4 linked regions of the Arabidopsis thaliana genome follow. The protein of the gene in region 3 interacts with the protein of the main gene of each other region in a pairwise test. Each region holds a gene or a part of one and is shown on either strand. Other genes may lie near its edges.

Region 1 (5,838 bases), on a different chromosome or scaffold from region 3:
TGGTGAAACTAATTAGTTTTAGTTTTACTTAAAAATAATTTTGAAGGAAAATAAAACAAAAAAAAAAAGAATGAAAAAAGTAATACCTTGTTGGATTTAGTAGCAAAAAGGGCCCATAGAGCAAAGCCCATTCCAAAGTCAGATTTGAGCCCGTCGGTCTTTGGGAGCCCTCTCGTGACATCATCCACCACCATAAAGCTCTCCGCTCTCTTGGCTATATCCTCCTCTTTGTAGTCTCCGGTGAAAGCGTCTCTCGTTGGTCAGATCATTATCTGGCGACATCGATCTTGATGACATAGATTTGATGGTTCAATCACGAAACGATGATGATATGATATCGCTCCGATCAATTACGGACGTTTCAGAGATCATCACCATCGGCTTTTACTTGAATATCTCTACTTGGATCATCATCGGAATTCACAGAGAGATAAAGACAAAATTGTCTTGAGAAGAGAATTAGGGTTTTAGAATAAGAAGAAGCGAGAAATAGAGAGTTTTGATTTGTCGAATTCTTTAGAAGAAGCGTTGAGACTCTCAGTGAGAGAGTAATTATTTATTTATAAGCGAAGAAAAGGAAACTGATAATCACAATTAACGGTCACAAAATCTTCTTTTAACGGTCACAAAAAAGATTTCTTTTGATAGCTTCTGTTTCCTTTTTTTTGTTTCTCTGACTGTGAGAGAATTAATGTGATGAGTTTTAATACATAGACTATAGCAATGGTATATAAATCAAGTTTTATAGAATCTGTTTCTTGTTGGTATGTATCGAGAGAGAAGCGGCCTGGATATGATCACAACAAGAAATATTTCTCAACTTAACGAAATTGGAATTACTGTTTTAGCTTAGCCTGATCATTTGCAGACATATATACAAAAGTTGCCCCAGTATCTCATATTAGCTGAGAAGAAGAAGCCAATCAAATACATAAAAAAAAAAAGCACACTAAAGATTGCAAAAGCTAAATAAGTTTCTGTTATAAAATCAACAAAAGAAATCAGAGGAAAAACTGAAAGAGCTCTTCATGATTTTGTAGACGCGTCTGAATTCACGGTTCGCACGAACTGGCCTTTCACTCGAGGACGTTGTTCTGCTAGCTTCTTCCTGCTCTGGTACCGAACCTGTAATCCATTTTTATACATCTCCATTGAATCAGTTTGATCTTGTATTTGTTTCAGATGCTGTTTTTATGATGAAGCTTGTGTGTCTCTTACCTTTTTGTCAAAGCATCGATCTTTCCTCTTCAACCGGAACTTCATCAATGCAGCTTCTCTCTGGCTTCTACTCCAACGTTGTTTCGCACTTTCTTCTTCCTTTGGTTTCTCTGTGCTACTGCTTTGTCCAGCAATCCCCTCATTGGTGCTTTGAGAACCAGCTTCTACTTCCTTGCTAGCTGCTTTCTCGCGATTTGATTCTACCGGTATGGGTGAATCTTGCTTCTGATTCGTTACTGTGGACTGAAGAACTTGGTTACGGAAGCTTACGCTTGATGATCCGATATTCTCCTGGTTGCTGCTCGTTGTGGAGCTTCCTTGATCAGATCTTACTTTTCTCAACTTTTCATGTGATTCGGTTGGTGTCTTTGGCTCACCTGAAGTACTCTCCTCTAAAGCAACGACGGCTTTTTCTGCTGACTTGCTTTCCTCAAATCTGCAAGTTAAATACATAAGAATTTGCGAATTGACTGACTCTGTTTTGATACTCTGCTTTTGTTGAGAAAAAAACAAAGTTTCTCCTTAAATCTTCCGAGTCAAGAAGATGTTAACTTGGGTTTCATGGTTCTTTTCGTGTTCCTAATATCAGTTTCTTCTCACCAACTTAGTTCTCTTCTTGATCTTTTACATATTAATGCATAACACTTTATATATATGATTTCTCCTGCTTTTGATTTTTATTCATCCAAATTTAGTCTTAAACTTACTACTTAGCTACAAAGCATGACGAGTACTTACTACTTAAAAACAGAATTACAAACACGAACTGAGAATATACGTCTTTCTAAACACATCATTTATACAGACAAAACCATACAATTTCAGCTCAAAATCCTGCAAAATTCTCGCTGAGAAACGAGTCATTTGCTGGACCGAATATCTCTATATCCGTGGCTCGGTTCATGCGATGTAGACCGGTAAATTTCGATTTGAATATGTATATATCCAATCTTTAGTCTCAATCTGTTTCATCTTCTTGTTTAGAGTTTATTGTTTTCATGACCAAAAATCCCGCCAAGGGTAATTGTTGCTGGATTGGTCCAAGAGAGTAGTAGTATCTGATTTGAAACCTCTCCAATCATCAGATGATGTCAAACAACTATCAGCTGGTTCAACAATGTTCATTAAGTGATCTGGTTCTTCCTCAAACCCACCAAAATACTCTCTCTTGATGTTGTTACTATAACCATTATCATCATCTTCATAATCATGATGATCACACATAACCCCATGATGACCCTTATCATCTTTCATCTCCATCTCCGGTCTAACCTCTTCCGGTTTACGCCTCCGGTTCTCTTCGTTTTCTGATTCATGATGTGTGCTGCTTAGAGCAACCACCGCTTGATCTCCACTACACTGCCTTTCCTCCTCCTGTGTCTTCTTTTGCGTCGCCTCTTTTAGCCTCTGCAACTACATAAAGGTATAAAACAACTCATCAACAATCTATTCTCTCCTTCAATAAACCATCAAAACAGAGTTTTTCTTGATCACCTAATCAGTCCTTAATTGCAATATAACCACTAAAGCACATATTTTATCACATATTTAAAACCACAGTTTTTCAGTATACAACCACAAAATACACAGATTTTAACTAACCATGTAAGAATAAACAGAGTTTAGAACATACCTCAGAGACTAAAGCTTGTTTTTCTTTCTTTAAGGACTCGAACTGAGAAGCCAAGTTGTCGTAGTTTTGTCTGAGAATGTTGTACTCAGTCTCGAGCTGCTTGGATTTCCAACGAGCCCTCTTGTTCTGAAACCATATAGCCACTTGCCTCGGCTGCAACCCTAGCTCTCTAGCTAATTGAACCTTCTTCCTTGGCTCAAGCCTTGTCTCAGACTCAAACATCATCTCCAGTGACTTGATCTGCTCGTCGCTAAACCTTCTCTGATTGTTCTTGTTGTGGTTGCTCTTCTTCATCTTCTTCATGGTCAAGAATGGCTCTGCTGACATCATCGCCGGAGAATATTCTCCACCTTCTGTCATCTCATCGGAATTTTTCCTCAGAGGATTTATGTTTTCTTTATTTTTATTTTTTGGAATCTCTATGTTTGTGTGATGTTGGCTATCTATATATGTGTGTTGATGAGGCTGAGATTATTATGTTAACAGTTATATAAAAATGTGATTTGTTGTTCTTTTTTGGGAGGGCTCCTTAGCATATAATAAGATATAACTTTGGGTTTGCTTTATCGTAAATTTTTTATTCATTTTTGAGTAAACGATTTGTGGGTCGACAGGTAGCAATAGGGCGGATTTTGGCTGTTTCTAGAGTCGTCGCTATCACTTGTTAAGTCGAGTTTCATTTCAACTCGAAACTAATCATCTAACTACTGATTAATAATTTCCACCTTTTTTATTTCTTTTACTTGTGACAAAATTAGTTTCGACTTAACAAGTGTTAGAAAATTAAATGATACAAAAAAATCTGCATACTACACAATTTACCGCATAGTAAACATTCTGGTCGATGTGAAAATGGAAATGGAACAACGGTTGCGTACCAATGTATTTAGTGATGTGGGTGCATATTAACAAATCCTGTTAAGTGGATCTTAAATAAAAATGAAGGGAATTATAATGGTTCATATAATGATTAGCATTTCTGAACTGATTACTAAACAATTATAATGGTTCATATAGGGAATTTCAGAAAATGAATAATCCTCATCTCCTATGCATATATCATCATGTGATTAATTATATTCTTTTCAGTACATCTCTGGTGAATTTTTAAATTTTTATGATTGTGTGCGACAGATTTAACGTTCAGAAGTCAGGATGTGTGACGGGTGTTTTTGTATACGTATGACACAAATCATAATTTTCTTAGAATGTGACTTTAATATTATTATACTTGCATTGTAAAACATATATTGATTACATCACAAATCTCAAAAACAAAACATTGTGACTTAAGTATGATGGGATACAATTTTTTCCAGCTATTTGCTTACGCAATTTTTTCTAATCGGAGATTTGATTTAGAATCAAAGCCTAAACTAATTTTTATAGATAAGTGTAATACAAGTTTACCTTCACCACACGTAAAACTTCCGTGCATGCGATTTGATAACTTTTTGCCAACTCTGTTGTGATCATTTGTTGACCCCTTCCTTACAAAAAGATATTTACTTCAGATTGAAAAATTGACAATACTATTATACTCGTAAACTATTTGTTTCTAATATCATATTTGAACTTATATGATAAATCACAGATATAATGATTCTTGAGAAAATTTTCTAAATTTTTCTTTTTTTCTGTTTTTATGTTAACAACACCATATTTATATATATTTTTAGAAAAAAAAACTAAATAGAAATGGCATATAATAGTTTTTTTCTAGAGTCTATATAACGTTATTTTTAAGAAAGTCTTCATACAACTGATTTCGCAAAATTTCTCTAGTTTAGTTTTACAAATTATGGTACTTCAAACCTCTATAAATGTTATGGTATTTTAAGAATGAATGCCTCGTGATTATTTAACAAACATTACTCCAAAGACAAAAGGCTAATTTTTCGTAACATTTCATCATTTGAATGGAAGCAAGTTAAATTTTTGCCAACAGGGAAACCATATTTGAGGCAGATTCCCTAGACTTTATTTTCTTCACGATAGCGATAACAATTTAACAATATTAGTATTAATGTGAAAAGCAACTTTAATTCTTGCTTTCCTGATTAGTTTAAGGTTTACGTTCACCTTGCTTGTCGGAAATTTCTTTTGACTAATTAATACAAGCAAAAATATTAAATTGGGCCATCTAGATAAGATATTTTCAAACCCTAATATTCTTTTTTTAATAATTAAATCTGATATTTGTAAAAAAAAACATAATTCGAAATTATATCTATCAAGTATCAACTAAAATTAAACCAAAAAGAAGTACCAACTAAAATTTAACGTAAGAGATCAATTTCTAAAGTCTTATTGAACTTATCAGAAAGTGGCAATCAAAAAGTATCAAAATCAGCCATCGAAAACTAGCCAAGTGTTATAATCAGAGATGAGAGTTCAATGCTTTGGGACATCAAAGTTGATAGAAGAGATGACATGGCAGTTGATCTGTGGTGGTGCCTGAATATTTTGGCCCAGCAAAGTACACACGTGTCGTGGTTAACTAGTATATCGCAATTTCTGAGAAGAGCCGTAGGAGAAGACAAATTCTTCATTTCTTTTTTTAAAAAGTATAATTTTAATTTATTACTAAATAAACGATGGCTTGGCTTGTTTGTATTTGCAAGCTCCTCGACTTGCCGCGTGTGACATTAATTTTTTGATATATTTACAATTAATTAGGACTTTTTATGTTAGATTATCAGTATGGTGTCACGTTCACAAAGTTTTTCTTTGTTTTCATACCATCGTAATATTCAAACGAAGATCTATTTTATTAACGAATGAATTTATTATTTTTATTTTATTTTCTTTAACGAATGAATTAAGTTTTGTCCTGCTTTTTAGATTATTACCGTTACTGCATCTCTAATCAATTTATGATACATGAGAATCAAACACAGTAATTTGGTTTTTAACGATAGAAAAAGTAATTTATAGTAGTGACTTTATCAGACAAGAAGACTTTTTTCCACCAATTTTGGAATTGT
Region 2 (5,617 bases), on a different chromosome or scaffold from region 3:
TAACTCCCAAGTCCACAAACTACTCACAACAAATTTAGTCATCTCATAAATTAGGGAACACAAGAAAAATAAAATAAAAAACATTTTTGTTTTTACTACTCAAAAATACCACTCAAAGAAAATGATGATGAACAAAGTTGTTTTGGGTTCGTTTCTGTTTTTCATGTTGGTGAGTTCGAATTTTGTGGTGGAGGCTCGTCCTTTGGGTTTAACGAAGGCTGAAGAGAACCTCGTGGCTAAGTTCTTCGATGGTTTGTCACTTGGGGCGATTAAGGAGTCGGGTCCTAGCTCTGGTGGTGAGGGTCATCGGTTCGTGGACCGGACTGAGACGCTTGAATATGGTAAGCATTCAGGTCCCAGCACGAGTGGACCCGGTCACTAAGTTCCCGACCGAACCAGTTAATGTGGCTGCTTTGGTCTAGCTCCGGAAATTGATTGCTTTGTTTAGTTTTTTTTCAGATTAATTATTCAGATTTTTCTTTTTATGCTTAGAACTTGGGAAAATCAAGAATTGGAAGAACCTCATTTGTTCTCTGTAGGAATATTCTTTTGTTAACTTATTGAAATTCATTTGATAATAATGTACAATGTAATATATATTGTAATTAATTTATTATTCTGATTATGTGAATGAATAACTGGATATTCATGTTTTTAATGAGTTTCAATAACAACATAGTTAAGCTCCAAATCCACAAAGCAAAAAGAAGCGACTTAACTTTAACCTTCTTCTGAGTGATAATCACCTAAGCTTACCTCTTTAACAGCTACATCCACTTCAACTTTAACCAAGAAATCGCGATTTCCGTGGAAATTGAAGTTAACCAATTCTTTAGATAGTTTCTGAAGGATGTTGTTCCGGATGGAGCTGTGGAAATTTGGCTTGGACAACAAGTTATACACATATCTAGTGCATATTTCTTCTCCATTATATAGGTAAACATTAGGAGCCTTACGTGCAAAGCAATTGAACCCATTTATGGACATCATCAAGCAGGAATTGATGCAAGTGTGACTCCTTGTTGTATTGTATGCCAAATTGTGAAAAGGAAGCATTAGTTGTAGCAGCTGCTATGGAGAAAGGTACCATACATCCTATTGGAAGGTATTTGCTTGTCAAACATCAGTAATCTTACACCGCTTGATAGTTATTAACACAATCAAACTCTTTCTTTTTTGCAGAGCCACAGTATTGGGAAGGACCTCCCTTGTGCTTTGAGTATTTCCCCGGTAGAGGCCTTACTGCTACAGTTAGTTGTATTGAGGTGATCTGTTCTACACTCTGTATCATTCATTGAATATCTATATATGATGTTGTCTCTCACACTATAACCTTTACTGCGATGCTATAGTCGGTAACCGAAGGTAACAAACTACGGAAATCGTCACTTGGTTCAGTAGAATTCATTACTTCACTCTTCGAATCGCAAGACCAGTCTAGAGAGATCAAGAATGCTGTAAACTCCTCTTTGTATGGAAATGACTTTGTTCATGCTCTTCTTTCACTTTATCAAAAGGTAACATTGATTCACCTCGAGGACCAGCCTCATCAACCCTTTTATAGACCAATTTCATTAAATCTAAGACATGTCATGATCAAAATCAATACATTTATTCAGTTTTTTTTTCGAATGAATCAAATCTCAAATCATGAAATTGGCTCTTTCTCTGCATTTGCTACACAATTCTTCTCTTTTCTCACTCACTACTCGATCCTACCTAATCCAATAAACTCTCTAAACCCTACATTACGACCATTAGTTCCTTGCACCATACACGAACTTGCTCCTCCTCCAGCTCCTCCGCCGTTTCCTAGCTGTAAATCCGCCATGTAACTCCTAACCTCCGTCTTAATCATCTCCTGCACCACCGTCATAAAATCTCCACCAAGTCCAGAAATCTCTCTTTCCTTCTCTTCTTCTTCTTCTCTCTTCACCGGAAACAACTCCGGTGGAGTTGTTGACTCATTGACCCAAGGCAAAGACAACCTCAAACAAGTCATCGGATCTTTCTCCTCCTCCTCCGGCGATGATGACTCAATCACCACTCCACCAGCTCTCGCCGTCGGTTTAAAAACATGACAAGAAGAAGAAACCGGTAAAACAGATCCACTAGATTGCGATTGCTCGCTGACGTCAGATCCCGTTGGACTTAACGCCGTCACCACAACAACTCCTCCTCCACCACTCGCCCTCCGTTTTAACGGTTTTTCATCAGTTAAATTACCATCATACCCTCCATTACCACCGAAATCACAACTCTGCCCTTCCTCTCCTCCGCCGCCTCCGCCGCTACATTTCCGCTTCAGCGTTGAGTTCCAGTGATTCTTAATCGCGTTATCAGTGCGACCATTGAGAAGCCGTGCAATCGTCGCCCACTTGTTACCAAACCGAGCGTGCGCTAGTATAATCGTATCATCTTCCTCCGCCGTGAATCCACGGTGCTCTACCTCCGGAGAAAGCTGATTACACCAACGGAGACGGCAAGATTTACCGGAACGTCCAGGGATTGATTTGCTTATCAGAGACCAGTTCCTTGGTCCGTGCTTCTGAACCAACGATTGTAACAGATCGTCTTCTTCAGGACTCCATGGTCCTTTGATCCGATCCATTTCTTTCCGGGTCGAACCAGACATCGCTCGGATCTTCTTTTTAATTTAAAACTAATCAAATCGTTTAAAACGCGTTTCTATTGTTTGGGGATTTTGGAAAAGAACGAAACGATTTTTGTTGAGAGGATAAGTATGAAGAGGAGAGAGTATTTATACGAGGTGTGATGGTTAGAGAGGTCACCGGTTCTACCGGTAATTTTTTATCGTTAGTTAACAACAACTTAATTTTTTCGTAACTGTAAATTGGATTATTTACGTGCATAATTATGTTTTCAACTGAATCAAATTGAAATAAGTTAACTGACACCAAATTAAATATGTAAGTATATGCCGTTTTGTTTTATTATTTTAAAATCCAGAAAACTGAAATTTAGTTTGAACCAAACAAAATAAACTCTAAACTAAAATTTATTAAAATATATACTATTAAACAAATTATTATGTAATGTTTTTTTAATGAATGTTAAATTATAACTAAACATGTACTGTATTTCTAACTATAACTAAACAAAGATATTAAACTAAAATCAAATCATATTACATCAAATTATAAATGCAAACCTTTTTCAAAAAATAAATTCAAATTAAAAATTCTTATATATTGTAGTTATGTAAAACTATTTAGAAAAACTACATATTTAAGTAATTTTGCGTAATTTCTAAATTGGATTAGTTATGAAGAAGATGTAACGTGAGTAGTCTGATACGTATTTGAATATTTAAAAGAGAAAGAAAAAAGCACGTCAGGGAGTGGCGGTGCGATTGGGGGAAATGCGTCTGAGAGAGTGAGGCTAAAATAAAGAGAGAATCTTTCCAAGAAAACGGTTGGGGATTTGGGAAACAGCTGTTAGTGGGGACAGCTGTCAACGAAATATGTAACTGTGTGTGATAGAGAGAGTACATTTTGTGGTACTTGAGAGCGTTTCACAGGTGGATCGTTTTTTTATTTAATTTAAATCATTTCGTTTTTAAGTTATTTCCTTTTTTAATTATCTTTTCTTTTTGCATTTTGAAGGTTACATTCTTTGTTTTTCCTTTGCATATCAGTGTTGGTATGGTCGAATTTTTGAAGATTTCTATTTAAACGTAATTAGATGCACATTAATTATCGTTGTCGTATCTAAAAACGTATTTAAGTTTTTTCGGTCGTTTTATTTGTCGGATTATAAAATCTTTAGTTTAGGTTGTGAAAGATTGACTCTTATCAAGACCGTCTTTACCCCATGGCAAATTAGGCAAATGCCATGGATCTATTACTGATTTTAAAAACAATCATAAGCATAAAAGGCCCAATTTTCTTAAAACAAAATTTTATTAAGAGATTTTAGTTTTTATTTTTATTTTGGCAAAGGCTCAATTATAGCTTGAGACGGGACTGTTTCTTATATCGATAGAAAGTAATTAATGTTATCTTTGGTTTGATCGCATATACTTAATAAATTTTATCCGTAGTTATTTCAAAATAAAGGATTTATTGATTCTGAAGACTAATGTTTTTTAAAGGGTTTGTGTTTAGTTGCTTATGATTTTAGTTGTTGGGTTCGGTCTCTTTCGATTTAAGTTTAAAAACTTTTGTTGGTATTTTCATTAGATTTAGAAAAAATTACGTTTTCCTTCGACTTTAATTATAAAATCATATATGTCGTGTGTCGTTTTAGTTTTTCTTTTTTGAACGTTGTATTTTGTATTGGTTTCACAACAAATTTAAGAATATTTTTATTTTTTATTTTGTTGTGTGAAAACACATTTTGTTTTCAATTTAAAAGCACTGAAACACAAACGTCGCTTTTTTCGAAATTGTATTTTGCGTATTGAATTGACGTATCTATACATATTAGAAACGTATAAGTAAAGTATCCATACTTATTGAGTGATTCCAGTTTCTTCTGTTTTTGTTTTTGATTTTCTGATTAAAAGAAAAATAAAACGAAGATAAGGATGACGTTAAAAGTGGTTTAGGTTTTTTGTTGGATTCTTCAGAGACTTTTCTGACTAAAGAAGCCAGCCTGTATGCCAATATTATTACTACTTTTTATATACAAAAATCAGTTATTTTGGATATTCAAAAAGATACTAATAAGATTCTTACGTAAATCGAAAACGACAGGATAGATCGATTAGAGTTTTGAGAGCCTATCGTTACTATTCATTGTTTGATATAAGCTAGTTTAACATGTCTAAAAGATTTATGTTGAAGTAAAGTTCATTTCCTTTGTCGTTTTATTTGTTGTCAACATGATACTCATATACAAAGGAATACGTTAAACCGTACATCAGCCGTGTACCGCACAAAAAACGTCGCCTGCACATGTTCCAATGCCAACATGAACCTTGTCGTGAGCTTCCTCATTCTCTTCTTTCAAGTTATAGTTAGATAAGGTAAGAGATATCGAAAAGAGTTCTTAAGATTCTGTTTAATTATCGAAGCCAAATTTTATAGATTAAACAAGAAGGTGTCATTAATGGAGATACGGTATGAGATTTTCCCTTATTGGTCCATCGTATCTACTACCAAATTCTTCCTTCCCATAATTGTATATACTATTACCACTAATCATTTATGTAGTTGGTATTTTCTTATTCAAATTAAATATTAATGACATTGACCGAGTAACATGTATAAGTGTATGTGTGGTCCGCAATCGTACTTGTATATCTCATTTACTAACTCTGCATCCCTTCACGTGAGATTTGATTAATGTTTCTCTCATTATCCTGATACCCTACACGTTTTCTGAATAAATCTACGAACATGAAGTGGTATGCATTGGAAATTTTTAGGCGTATGAGTGTTTTTTCCCCCATTATATGATATGTATCTCAATGTGCTTTTGTTTTTTTATGATTTTCAACTATAGTAGTTTTTCATGATAATCAATATGCTCTGTCCCTTGATGTATCATACAAGTATTACTTTGTGATGTAGTGAATGTAATACATTATTAAGTGGTACGTCCATCAAAGTATTATAAAACAATAGTTTTTTCCTTTAAGAAAGTACAACTT
Region 3 (6,769 bases):
AGTGAAAAGGTTTTTTGGATAGTTAGTAAGTTTTAATTTTAAAAAAAAATAAACTAAATGTTTACAGTAGATTTAGAATTATAGTTATTATGAATTATTCGGACTATCAATAAAATCTTGACATGTCCCTTCTATTTTTACATTTGTTTCAATCATCATTTCACATGCCCACTTTTTACACCCACTCACAGTCTCACACATTTTTTTCTCTTACACACATTCTCACATCTAATCCTCTAATTAATAGTGTGACCGGGCTAATAAGCTAATTACTTTCCAAAACCTATTATTTATCTCCAGAAAACCCAACAAAAAAAATTCACCCCCAAATCGCCGCATACTTCTTATAACTATGTTATAGTACTTAAAACATTTGTAAATTATATTGGAGATTTCAAACATCTGTAATTCAAAAATTTCTATGATTCAAAAATTAACAGAGAGGTAAAATAACAAACCCAAAGATATAAAGTCCATTAAAAATTATACTTTGATTTCAAATTAATTAAATAATAAAATTTGAAAGAGCTCATAGCTCAGTGGTAGACTATTTGACTGCAAATTTAGAGGTCACCGGTGTGAACCTGGTTGGGCTCTTCTTTTCTTTTTTTCGTTTTCTAAAATATGTTACGAACTCCAAATAGTTGGTTAATGATATGCATATTAACCCGTGAATGATTTAATATGAAAATGATAATTGGTTAATGATATGCCTATAAAAATTAATATGGTCACGGGATTTGATATTCCTTCCTTCCCTACTAACCCAAATAGTCCTACAATAAAATTATCCATAAGTTGAAAAAAATAAAATAATAATGATGTTCCTAATGTAATAGCTTAGTTATTGCATAGTGCGATTCCAAAACTAATAAATGAAAATCAACCAAATTATTGGTTCATCCCCACGGGCCACGGGTCATATTATCTATATGTCATTATGTATTCATACATACATACATACATATTTCTTGTTTTATGATATGTTTTTGTACATATTATAGTTTGTATATATGATATGTTTTTGTACATATTATAGTTTGTATATATGTGTGTTTCTATAAGTACAATATAAAAAATCACTTATAGTCTATCCCCGAAGATATTCAGTTGAAATATTTGCTATATTGCTGGCATTTTTTATAAGAATTTTATCTAGAACGCAAGAGAACAAAAAAAGAAAAAAATTAGAAAAAAAATGAGTTATAAAGGATGAGGATAAGGTAATAGTATTATGCACAGCGCGGAGTATCACATGCAAGTAGTGAGATTAAGAGACAACAAAGAGACTGTTTGATCAATCCTTGTCTGAGAGTTACTCTCTCTTTAGTATTTATAAACCTATCTTGAACCAAAAACAATCAAATCAAACTCAAAATTTAGTTTTAAACTCTCTGTTTCTTTCTTATTTTTTCTTCATTTTTAGTTGCTGTGAAGATGGGGAATTGTTCGCAAAGAGCAGTATCTGATGGTGGTGGTTCGGTTACCGTAATTGCGACAAATTCAAGAAACATCCTGGAAGAGTATTACAGAAGCCGGAGATGTAGCTCGTTGCCAATAACAAGGGAGAAAACACTAGGGTATCTTGTTAGACAAGGTACAACAAGCCCTAGAGGAGTACTTGGGCCAAGGATACAAGTGTCGCCGCAAAGAAGAAATGGAGTTTGGAAAGCGAAAGTGGTGATCGGAAGTAAGCAGCTTGAAGAGATTTTGGCAGTTGAAGGCAATACACACGCTTTGATTGATCAGCTCCGGTTTGCTGCAGCAGAAGCTTTAGTTTCTTCAACCTCCGCCTCTGAGATGGTCAGAGTTAAAAGTTTATTGTCCAAGTCCCGAAAAAGACAATGAGAACTACTTCTGTTAGGTTCGATGATTGCGTTTTTTTTATGTGGCTTATTTGTAATCCTAGCAAAAAGTGTATATAGCACAAACATTTGATAAATGAAAAAAATATCTTGTTATATAAAGAGTGTATCTAACTCGGTTTTCGAAGTTTATGTTTTGTGAAATATAGAAACCAACTGAGGAAAAAATTAATACATTTGGTTCTGTTTGACACAGTCTGTGTTTCAGTCTGATCTGGTTTTTGAGAAAATATTTAAAAAATATTAGGTTTTAGCAGGATTACTTTTTTGGGGTTTGTTTAGTTTCGGTTACGGTTTGTTCAAATGCAAAAGATTGAAATTTGAAACCGGATCAGATGGTTTTGTACTTTGGTCCAGAGTTTTTGGAATCGGTTAAAGCGAAATGGATACAACTCAGTACGAGACACATAACGACCAATTCGAGAGAAGAAAATAAAAAAGACAGTTACATGAGAGACCTGAACATTCGAACAACTAACTACTTAAGAAGACACTTACACATGTTTAGAGATAAAGTATCACATGTTCTTCATTCAGACACGCGATTCCATTTTCTTGACAGCATTTTCGATGGCTGGCATGTTTTTCTTGAAGGTTGACCATTGTTCATCTGTTAAGCTTATTCCTGGAGATAACATTATAACATATCAGAGACCAGACATGAATCAAAAATATTCTCAATATGGTCCATTTTGAGTAAAATGGTTGTCCCTTTTTTTTTTATCTATAGAGAAGAAAAGATGAACTATATTCAAACCCAAATAACTATTCTCAAAGTAGATAAAACAGAAACTATTTAATGACTTTTACACAAAATATCAGGACTTGCACAAATTCAAAGATGTAATACAGAACAAGCTTAAGTGCTAGGTTAAACTAAACTACCATAAACTGAAAGAATCATTCAAGTCAACAACTTTTCGGCCAAAATGGTTTGTAATCACCAAAGCTTTTTACTTAATATACAAAACTGAAACTTAACACACCCAAAACAATAACAACTCTGAATCATCATTGACTCCAAATTTCGAATTGTGAACGAAAATCACTTTGATGCAACTCTAAAGTGGAACTTGAAAGAAACATTTGCACATAAACACAGAATTTGGCTCTACAATTTCTGAAAAATTGTGATAGAACAAAGAGAGCTTTAAAGTACCTTTAGAAGTAGGAAGTTCTTTGCCATCTTTCTTGTAATACTCTCTGATAGAAACCAAACTCTTCCCTTTAAATTCCTGAATCGTCACTCTTCTCTTATCCGATAACTAACAACAACAACAACAACAACATTCCAAATTCAGAACACACAACATTCACTAATTCACAATCTCTGCTTCAGAGATAACACTATTAGCTTCTCTACGAGACCACATACAAATCAAAATCAATCCTATTTCAAGCAAAATCAGTAATCGAATTCGAGAAAAAGCAATGAAATCAAACCCTGCAAATGATAAGATCGCCGTCATCATCAAACTCTTTGTTTCCTTTACCACAATCCTTATCTCCATCTTCTTCTTCCTTATTCACTTGTGAGTTTTCATATTCTCTCGCTCTCTCTTCGTCGAGGAATTTCTCCACGACGCTTCGTACAAATGCTTTGTGAGATTTCTCCGAGAGATCGATTGCGAGTTTCTCCGAAGCGAGTTTACGAACCTTGAACTCTGTTATCTCTTTCATATCCGATTCACTGAGTATCTCTATCACAGTTTTCTCGATCTTCTCCTTCGTCTCTTTCTCCATTTTTAGGGTTTTTCTCCGCCGGATTTTGACCAAATCGGATTATCGGTGTTATAAACCCGATAAGTATAGATGAAATTATCGCAATCGTATAAGCGTGGTGGTAATCCATCGCTCATTTCTATTTATAAAAATGGATAATGCTTATGTTTATCTATTATATTTTCTTTAAAATTGAATAAATATGGATGTAATTATCGCAATCGTATAAGCGTGGTGGTAATCCATCGCTCATTTTTATCTATAAAATATGGATAATGTTTATTTTTATCTATTATTTTCTCCTTAAAATTCGATAAGTATGGATGTGATTATCGCAATCGTATAAACGTGGTGGTAATTCATCGCTCATTTCTATCTATAAAATATGGATAATGCTTATTTTTATCTATTATATTTTCTGTAAAACTGGATAAGTATAGATGTAATTATCGCAATCGTATAAGCGTGGTGGTAATCCATCGCTCATTTCTATCTATAAAATATGGATAATGTTTATCTTTATCTATTATTTTTTCCTTAAAACTAGATAAATATGGATGTGATTATCGCAATCGTATAAACGTGGTGGTAATTCATCGCTCATTTCTATCTATTGAATATGGATAATGCTTATCTTTATCTATTATTTTTTCCTTATAACTAGATAAGTATGGATGTGATTATCGCAATCGTATAAGCGTGGTGGTAATCCATCGCTCATTTCTATCTATTAAATATGGATAATGCTTATCTTTATCTATTATTTTTTCCTTAAAACTAGATAAGTATGGATGTGATTATCGCAATCGTATAAGCGTGGTGGTAATCCATCGCTCATTTCTATCTATAAAATATGGATAATGCTTATTTTTATCTATTACTTTTTCCTTAAAACTCGATAAGTATGGATGTGATTATCGCAATCGTATACGCGTGCTGGTAATCCATCGCTCATTTCTATCTATAAAATATGGATAATGCTTATTTTTATCTATTATTTTTTCTGTAAAACTGGATAAGTATAGATGTAATTATCGCAATCGTATAAGCGTGGTGGTAATCCATCGCTCATTTCTATCTATAAAATATGGATAATGCTTATTTTTATCTATTACTCTTTCCTTAAGTCTCTTACTTTCTTGTTAATTCTATTATTTTTGGGTTGGCTGATTTTATACCCATAAACTAATTGCATTCTCAGCTTTTTCCCCACACTTTTTGGCTCTTAATTTTTCACCATAAACTTTGATAATTCTTTAAATTACAACATGTACTTTCGGATTCATCCTTAAACATACATTTCCAATTGAACCGGTCTTTAAACCGGAATTAACCACAAATCCGCGTTTACTGTACCACGATTGCGATTTACCCGATTAATCACCATATCCGTTAAGAAAAAGGTTGGCTGATTTTATAGCCATAAACTAATTGCATTCTCTGCTTTTCACCCATACTTTTTGCTCCTGAAATTTCCACCATAAACTTCGATAATTCTTAAAATTGCAACATGTACTTTCAGATTCATCCTTAAAAATATGTTTCCAATTGATTTAGATTGTTAAACCGAGATTAACCATAAATCCGCGTTTAGTGTACCGCTATTGTGATTTACCCGACTAATCCCACACCCGTTAAGAAAACGACATCGTTTTCTCTTTGTTTTATAATGTGAATCTATCTATATATGTTATGTGTTGTGTTAATTGGTAAGGAAAATGACAAATCGAACTAGATAAAACTCCTAATCATAAGGATAGATAAGACTCCAAATCAATTAGTCAACCTAAATAATATCATCTTAAAGAGAATCAACTTCCGAAAATACATCATCCAAAATAGACAAAAGAGGTTGAAGATTGTTCCAATGACAATCTAAATCAATTGGAAACATATTTTTAAGGATGAATCTGAAAGTATATGTTGCAATTTTAAGAATTATCGAAGTTTATGGTGGAAATTTCAGGAGCAAAAAGTGTGAGGGGGAAAGCAGAGAATGCAATTAGTTTATGGCTATAAAATCAGCCAACCCTTTTCTTAACGGATAGAGGTGATTAATCGGGTAAATCGCATCGTGGTACAGTAAACGCGGATTTGTGGTTAATCCTGGTTTAATGACCGGTTCAATTGGAAATGTATGTTTAAGGATGAATCCGAAAGTACATGTTGTAATTTAAAGAATTATCAAAGTTTATGGTAGAAATTTAAGAGCCAAAAAGTGTGGGGGAAAAAGCTGAGAATGCAATTAGTTTATGGGTATAAAATCAGCTAACCCATTATTTTTTTTTAAGTAAACTCTATTATATTTTCATTTTTCTTCTTAAGTTTAATATTTTATAACAATTTGCGATATTTTTCTTAGGCTGATGTCAGTCAAGTTTTCGATACTAATTACGGTGTCGTTTCGTGAATCTATTAGTTCACTCTCTGAAAAGTTTGCTTATGTTAACAAAGATCTAAACCGGAGTGAGTGAGCAAACTTTTTCGTTTGATGGCATTACGTTAATACGGTACAGACGTAAGCGATTTTCGTCACAATGATCGACGATGTTAGAAAAGTGATTGATATATGGACTTTTTTTTTTAACACCTTAATTGATATATGGATTTTTTTTTTCACTTCTTACTGTTACATATACACATTATAAAATAGTTTTAGAGATGGGTTCAGAGACCATTTTCTTGGTTATTCTTTTTAGACAACCTCCATTAGTGAATTGTTGGGTGTCTTTCAAAAAAAAAAAAAATTATGACTTAAAACACGCATCTTCAGTTACATGTCTTCCTATAAATATTTTTTATGTTTTCTTCAAGACACCGAGTATGATTGATTGGTTGGGGTGTAGGAAATTTATAAAGACACTAAAAAACTACAATCATGTTGTACTTTTCTTATTTTTTCTCACAGCCTAAAAAATATAATTTTTAACTATTTTGGCTATAAGTACAAGTTTTTCTATAAGTACATTATTTTTAAAATATATATTAAATTGATATTTGTGAATAATATAATATAACATAAATACAATTTACTAATAATAATTCTTTTTTAAAAATACATACGACCAAAACCTTATTTCTACAACCAAATCATCCATTTCATTCTCTTTCTGAATTCATATTGCTTTCTTCTTCTGGATTTTGGTACTTCTCTTTCAACCCTCAGATTCACTTTCTTTTTT
Region 4 (6,205 bases), on a different chromosome or scaffold from region 3:
TAGTGTTTGACTTCCAAAATTTACTCCTACAACAAAATTATTAGTGAGCGTTTATAAGAAAATATTAATTATGCACCAATAGATATAAATAACACATGTTAATTTCTCACGTTACACTGGATATGCGGATCCCATCAAACTATTTTTCATCATAGAGAATTGGATCTTGAACAACGAAAAAGTTCTAATTATTATACCTTAATCATGTGCATGACTGCATGTATATATTATACAAATGATTTCAAGATGCTTGATGCTTATATTTTGGGGTGAGGTAATAGAGGGATCGAGAGATTAGTTGTCTCTTGCCTGTCATTTCTCCAATAGATTATTAGACTAACTCACGTGCTTTTTATTTTGAAAGGCTGATTATTTCAACACTTCCAACAAAACTTTATGAGTACGTATATATAAAATAAATTAATGAGTTTTCTTAACCTAGATTACCATGGTTGCACAAGACACTAGACCCTCAAAAGAGTCAGCTGTGTCTCTCTCAATAACTATTCGCAAGCACTTTATTTTCTTAAGAGTATAAATTTTGCAAATATATATCTAATTAAAGGGGTCTATATTTCAATTATATTCTTATATGTGTAACTCATTGGAAATAACATGCTTCTGTGTTAATATTACCAGTGTATGGTAAAAAATAAAATAGAATGAGCGATATACTGAAAAATCTAGTGATGATTTCTATGTATCTAGTGATAGAATAGACGAGAACTATTTTTCCAACGAAAACGTAACTCATTAGTTCATATGTTTTCTTTTCTTTTCTAAAAGAAATAATCTTAATTATTTATGTGCATATGTGTGTGTGTGTTATTTATAGATAAGCCCTAGCCAATCACATTCTAAATATGTATTATATTAGAAAGTCTTATATATATGTTTATATAGATCATAATTTTTCTTTCTTTCTGAAATGTAATTTTGATAAAGTGATTGTACATTTTGGTTTCTTTTCTACCTACCCATTAAAATTGACAAGTTGTAAGTTGTAACAATGTCATAACCAATAGTTGATACCTCAGAAACATGTCATAACCAATAGTCCAATACTATATCAAATACAAAAACAAATCAAGGGAAGATCTTGGGTTGGCGCAATACTAACAAGTAACAAGTGAGAAAAAAAAGTAATGAAAGAAAATACATTTTTCTATATATATGAACAATGATTGAACCCACCATATATTGAGGATGAATGCAAATTCTTTGTTTATTTCTGATTAGCGACCGTTGTTTAAAATGAACAAGATATAATTGTTTGAATACATTCTTGTTGGCAATATATAGGGAAGATTTAAGAAGATGATATTATTAGGTATTCATGAAGATTTCGTAATCTTTTCTTAACCCTACATCAATATTAGTATTAAACCAAAGATCAAGGGAATAATATCTTATCAAAATGGAGAAAGATTATTTCTTAACTAGTTGATTGATGTGAACAAAATAAAATAAAAACTAGTTGATTAATCATACACAATTACAAATTATATACAGTATGTATCTTTGGTGGAATCTAGCTCCCCTCAAGCCCTCTAAGGATCCTTCATCACTGAAGACTCTTTTACGATCTGACTCTCCCTTTCTGTTTTGTTTTGTTTGTATATATTATGTGTTTATTTGTGTATATATAATATGTCTATTTGTCTTATAAAATCAAATATTTTAAACTAATTTTTCTTGTTAATAGAAGTAAAAATAAAAAAATAAAAATAAATTATAACTAGCAATTTTCATTACAAGATAAAAATCTTATTTCATAGGGTCAAATTCGTTGGTAAATCTTCAGAAATGTGCTTTCAGATGGATTTCCGAAGGATTATTGTCATTAGCTTAAAGTGGTCAAAAATCCATGTATTTCGAAATATCTTTGAAAATTTCCGAGAGTTTTTCGAAAAACTAATATTTCCGACGGTTTTTGAAGAGATTTTCGAGAAACAATGCTTTTGAGGGATTTCCAGAAAAAATAAAATTAGAAGAATTTCTAAGAAACAAATTTGTCCAGGAGATTTTCGAAAGACAAATATTTCCAAGAAATATATTATTTAAATTCTTAGAAAATTCGCACAATTATCATTATTCGATCCTAAATATTCATATTTAGTAATAGATACACATTGGCATCAAAATCTTTGAGAGTATTATCAGTATCAATCAATCTAATGTATTATTATTTTTAATTAATATTATCAACCAGTATCTATTTGTATTTGATTGCCTTTCACGCCTGCACATAAAATTCAGAGTCGTCGTATATATGTATAAAAATATAATCGTGTTTAGCCATTAGCACATGAGCAAGTCCAAATCTCCCTCTCTCTCTCTCTATCTATCTCTCTATAGAAGGTAAACTTCAACTTCATCTTTCTTAGACTGCTTAAATTTCTCAAATTCTTGTAAAGCTTTTGGAATTCAAGAAATATTAATGTTATATAATTTCATTTTCTTGGGTTAATAGTTTCCTCATATGATTACCAATTTTCAGATTTTTTAACTAAGAAGCTAGCGATCATGGCCACAGCGATGAACGTTTTCTCTACCAAATGGTCCTCCGAATTGGTATATTTCTATACACACATACATACATATTTATGTGTGCCTCTCTTTCCTCATATGATTTTGTATATATATAAAATCTATATTCATGTTCTTTTAACCTACTTTTTCTTAGGCAAATTTCACGAATCTTTATTATTTGCTTTTCGTATAGGATATAGAAGAATATAGTATCATCCACCAATTCCACATGAACTCACTCGTCGGAGATGTTCCACAGTCTCTCTCATCTCTTGATGATACCACCACTTGTTATAACCTTGATGCTTCTTGTAATAAAAGTTTGGTAGAAGAAAGACCTTCAAAGATCCTCAAGACCACTCACATATCACCAAACTTACATCCTTTTTCTTCTTCTAATCCTCCTCCTCCAAAGCACCAGCCCTCTTCTAGGATTCTTTCTTTTGAAAAGACAGGTTTACATGTTATGAATCACAACTCTCCAAACTTAATATTTAGCCCCAAGGACGAAGAAATTGGATTACCAGAGCATAAGAAAGCCGAGCTGATAATAAGAGGGACAAAGAGAGCTCAATCCTTGACTCGAAGCCAATCAAATGCTCAAGATCACATACTGGCAGAGAGAAAACGGAGAGAGAAGCTTACTCAAAGATTTGTAGCTCTTTCCGCGCTAATTCCTGGCCTAAAGAAGGTACACATATGTAAAAATAAATCTTCTCTTCTTCTTCTTGTTTAATAAAGAGGCGCATACCAACCAAATGATAGTGTAGTCTTTTCTTAAATAATTCTATTTTGCTAGGCAAGAAACCAATTTTCATGGACAGTATTCACTCTTTTCTTATACCCACAATGAAAGTTTTGACTTCAGATCTCCCGGTTATGAGACTAAATTATTTGACCAGGACCGACTTTGTGAAACTCGAAATATACTAAAACAAATCCTCTATATATAAGAATTATTACTTTTTTACAAATCATTTGCAGTTCCGGCTTGAAGGTTTTTCATTTCGATTAAATATAAATATATTTACATGCTATATATTGAAATATGCATCTATGTCATTATAGATGGACAAGGCTTCTGTGTTGGGAGATGCAATAAAGCATATAAAGTACCTCCAAGAGAGTGTGAAAGAGTATGAGGAACAAAAGAAGGAAAAGACAATGGAATCAGTGGTTCTTGTAAAGAAGTCTAGTCTGGTTTTAGATGAAAATCATCAACCATCATCATCATCTTCCTCAGATGGAAATCGCAATAGCTCGAGCTCAAATCTTCCAGAAATAGAAGTTAGGGTTTCAGGAAAAGATGTTCTTATTAAGATCCTATGCGAGAAGCAAAAGGGTAATGTGATCAAGATTATGGGGGAGATTGAAAAGCTTGGTTTGTCTATCACCAACAGCAATGTCTTGCCCTTTGGACCCACTTTTGACATCTCTATTATCGCTCAGGTAACTATATATTTTCTCATATAAGCTACAACATAACTTTATTCTAGTATTCAACATAAATATATATATCGTGTGACAACATAAATCAATTCTATAGATAATGTACATGTTTCAGAATTAGTATGACTTTGGACTTAAATATTCTAGTATTCGAAAATTCTAATGATATAGTTTATTCTTTGCAGAAGAATAACAATTTTGATATGAAAATCGAGGATGTTGTGAAGAACTTGAGTTTTGGCTTATCAAAGCTCACTTAATTGGTTTCACGTTACATACATATACACATTCATCATCGATTTCTCCGATCGAAGAATCCAAAATCAGTTTTTCCATGAAAGTGGTTTTTTAGTTGTTAAGTTTGTTGTATGGAGATTCTTAAGTCATTTAAAGATCCTTGTTCTTGTGTTGTTAAGTGTGCTTTAAGATGCATATCATCAAATGTTTAGTAATTATTTCTCTCCAGTTTCATTTGGGACGGAATTTTTTTCGCAGTTGTTGGATATATATTTCCTGCGATGTAAAGCATTTCGTTAGTTTAATAAACGTCCGATATGTTTCTTTGTATTTTGATAAGCTTTTCTGTCAATTATAGTCACTACGATATATTTATATGATAATTACTGTTAAAATGGTTGAGTAGTTTACTGTTTACGATAATATTTGTCTTTCAAACCATCTATGTTTGATATATTATGGAATTTACAGGTGAATAACGAAAGAACTGAATAAACTAAACGAGAGAAATTTTTCGTATAATACTTATGAAAGGCTAAAAAAAACTAGTTTTAATAAATTAATCACATTTTTTTAACACGATAGTGGTATACGATATAGTGAAAACACAAAATTAAATAAATATTTTGAATGGTAATTATAAGTAACGGAATCACGTTTTCAAAACGTGAACTAGTTGTGTATACATTCAAACCCTATATAGATGACATTGTAGGAAAGATTACGAAAATGCCTTCTGTGAAATATAGGAAGATTATATCAATGTAAATGTATATAAAATCAAACTCAAACAAAAAAAAAAACTCTTCAATCTTAACTAAAGTATGTATATACTCCATAGAGTTTGATATATCGCAAACGGAAATTTTAATAAACTGTTATAATCAGGTTTAATTAGGACGCATTTGGATTCAGTCTTTTTCATTAAAAATATTTTGGTCAGTTCACGAGCATTTTGTCAAAACCGTGTAATGACTTATGAGTTATGTCTATGTGATAAAATGTGTATTAAAAGTGAAAATAAAATCAATTTTTCATGCAATACTTTTTCAGTCGCACCTTTTCATTTGCTAATCATTATGTTTTTTAAATTTATTTAATTAAATATAGTCAAAAGTAACGTTTTAAAACGAGGACCGAAATTAGAAACCTTCAGTTGGCTAGATTTAAGAAAAAAGTCATAAAGCAGACAACTTTTACCAAAGCATGAAGGAGTGTTTGAGATTCTATACGTATATTAATCTATTGAAATTTTTTAGTTTTATGTATGAGAAAATTCACACATTATCAGAATGTACATATACATATATAGCTTTCTAGAAACTATAGCAATTGAATCCAAAGAAAAAACTATAATCGTAAAACAAAAACAAAAACAAAAAATATTTAATTGAATTGAAAACGTGGGAGTAGACCTCAATTTTATAAGTAATTAAACTAATTTCCACTCCCCATGATTTAGTTCACATCTTACGGAAAAAAGTAAAAAGCAAAAGTTATAGTTATAGTGGAAATTCCTTAAAAACAGGCGACCAAAGCAATGCATGAGCCATGAGTTATTTAATTGAATTAAAAACGTGGCATTTTCCTTATTCTATTGGAAACTCGTTTCACGGAGGTCAAACAAATGTGAAAACCAAAAGTGTTCTTTGGAGTTTTGTTTTGTCTTCGTCAGGTCCAAAAAGTCCAACCAAAATGCCTAGAAGGTCACATAAACTTAAGTACCTAACAGGCTAACAGCAATCTTAATTACATGATATTTTGTTTCTGGACCATAATTGTCCTTAATGATGGGAAGAGAAAGGCTACTGGTATATTTCTGAAACTAGTAGGGGTATTAGATAAGAAATAACGCTTATACTATATATAATTTACATTTGTTAGAATTTTTTTATCTAACTTGGTTTTGGGTTTTGATGGAAAATATCTTATTAAATTATAGTAGGAGCTCGCTTATAAGAATTTTGTTTTGTTGTCTTCTCTCTTC

The links.
Region 1: the proteins of KELP (region 3) and HB-7 interact in a two-hybrid assay, tested with the Arabidopsis thaliana proteins (one large-scale study listed by BioGRID).
Region 2: the proteins of KELP (region 3) and MYB70 interact in a two-hybrid assay, tested with the Arabidopsis thaliana proteins (one large-scale study listed by BioGRID).
Region 4: the proteins of KELP (region 3) and AT2G22750 interact in a two-hybrid assay, tested with the Arabidopsis thaliana proteins (one large-scale study listed by BioGRID).

The regions. Positions count from the first base shown.
Region 1 is NC_003071.7:19,163,563-19,169,400, forward strand, and holds HB-7 (homeobox 7), read right to left. Parts: upstream 3,406-5,838; 5' UTR 3,212-3,405; coding exon 2,852-3,211; intron 2,632-2,851; coding exon 2,215-2,631; 3' UTR 1,712-2,214; downstream 1-1,711. Other genes in the region: AT2G46670 (CCT motif family protein), read right to left, coding at 1,027-1,125, 1,219-1,671. UniProt on the Arabidopsis thaliana protein: Probable transcription activator that may act as growth regulators in response to water deficit.
Region 2 is NC_003071.7:9,903,190-9,908,806, forward strand, and holds MYB70 (myb domain protein 70), read right to left. Parts: upstream 2,844-5,617; 5' UTR 2,636-2,843; coding exon 1,706-2,635; 3' UTR 1,317-1,705; downstream 1-1,316. Other genes in the region: AT2G23270 (uncharacterized protein), read left to right, coding at 122-382.
Region 3 is NC_003075.7:6,695,496-6,702,264, forward strand, and holds KELP (transcriptional coactivator p15 (PC4) family protein (KELP)), read right to left. Parts: upstream 3,705-6,769; 5' UTR 3,609-3,704; coding exon 3,309-3,608; intron 3,131-3,308; coding exon 3,025-3,130; intron 2,491-3,024; coding exon 2,399-2,490; 3' UTR 2,364-2,398; exon of another isoform or gene 2,179-2,363; intron 1,961-2,178; exon of another isoform or gene 1,849-1,960; coding exon of another isoform or gene 1,438-1,848; 3' UTR 1,217-1,437; downstream 1-1,216. Other genes in the region: AT4G10910 (uncharacterized protein), read left to right, coding at 1,438-1,848. UniProt on the Arabidopsis thaliana protein: General coactivator that functions cooperatively with TAFs and mediates functional interactions between upstream activators and the general transcriptional machinery. Binds single-stranded DNA.
Region 4 is NC_003071.7:9,669,384-9,675,588, forward strand, and holds AT2G22750 (basic helix-loop-helix (bHLH) DNA-binding superfamily protein), read left to right. Parts: upstream 1-2,289; 5' UTR 2,290-2,361; intron 2,362-2,500; 5' UTR 2,501-2,526; coding exon 2,527-2,574; intron 2,575-2,725; coding exon 2,726-3,223; intron 3,224-3,600; coding exon 3,601-3,981; intron 3,982-4,166; coding exon 4,167-4,241; 3' UTR 4,242-4,521; downstream 4,522-6,205.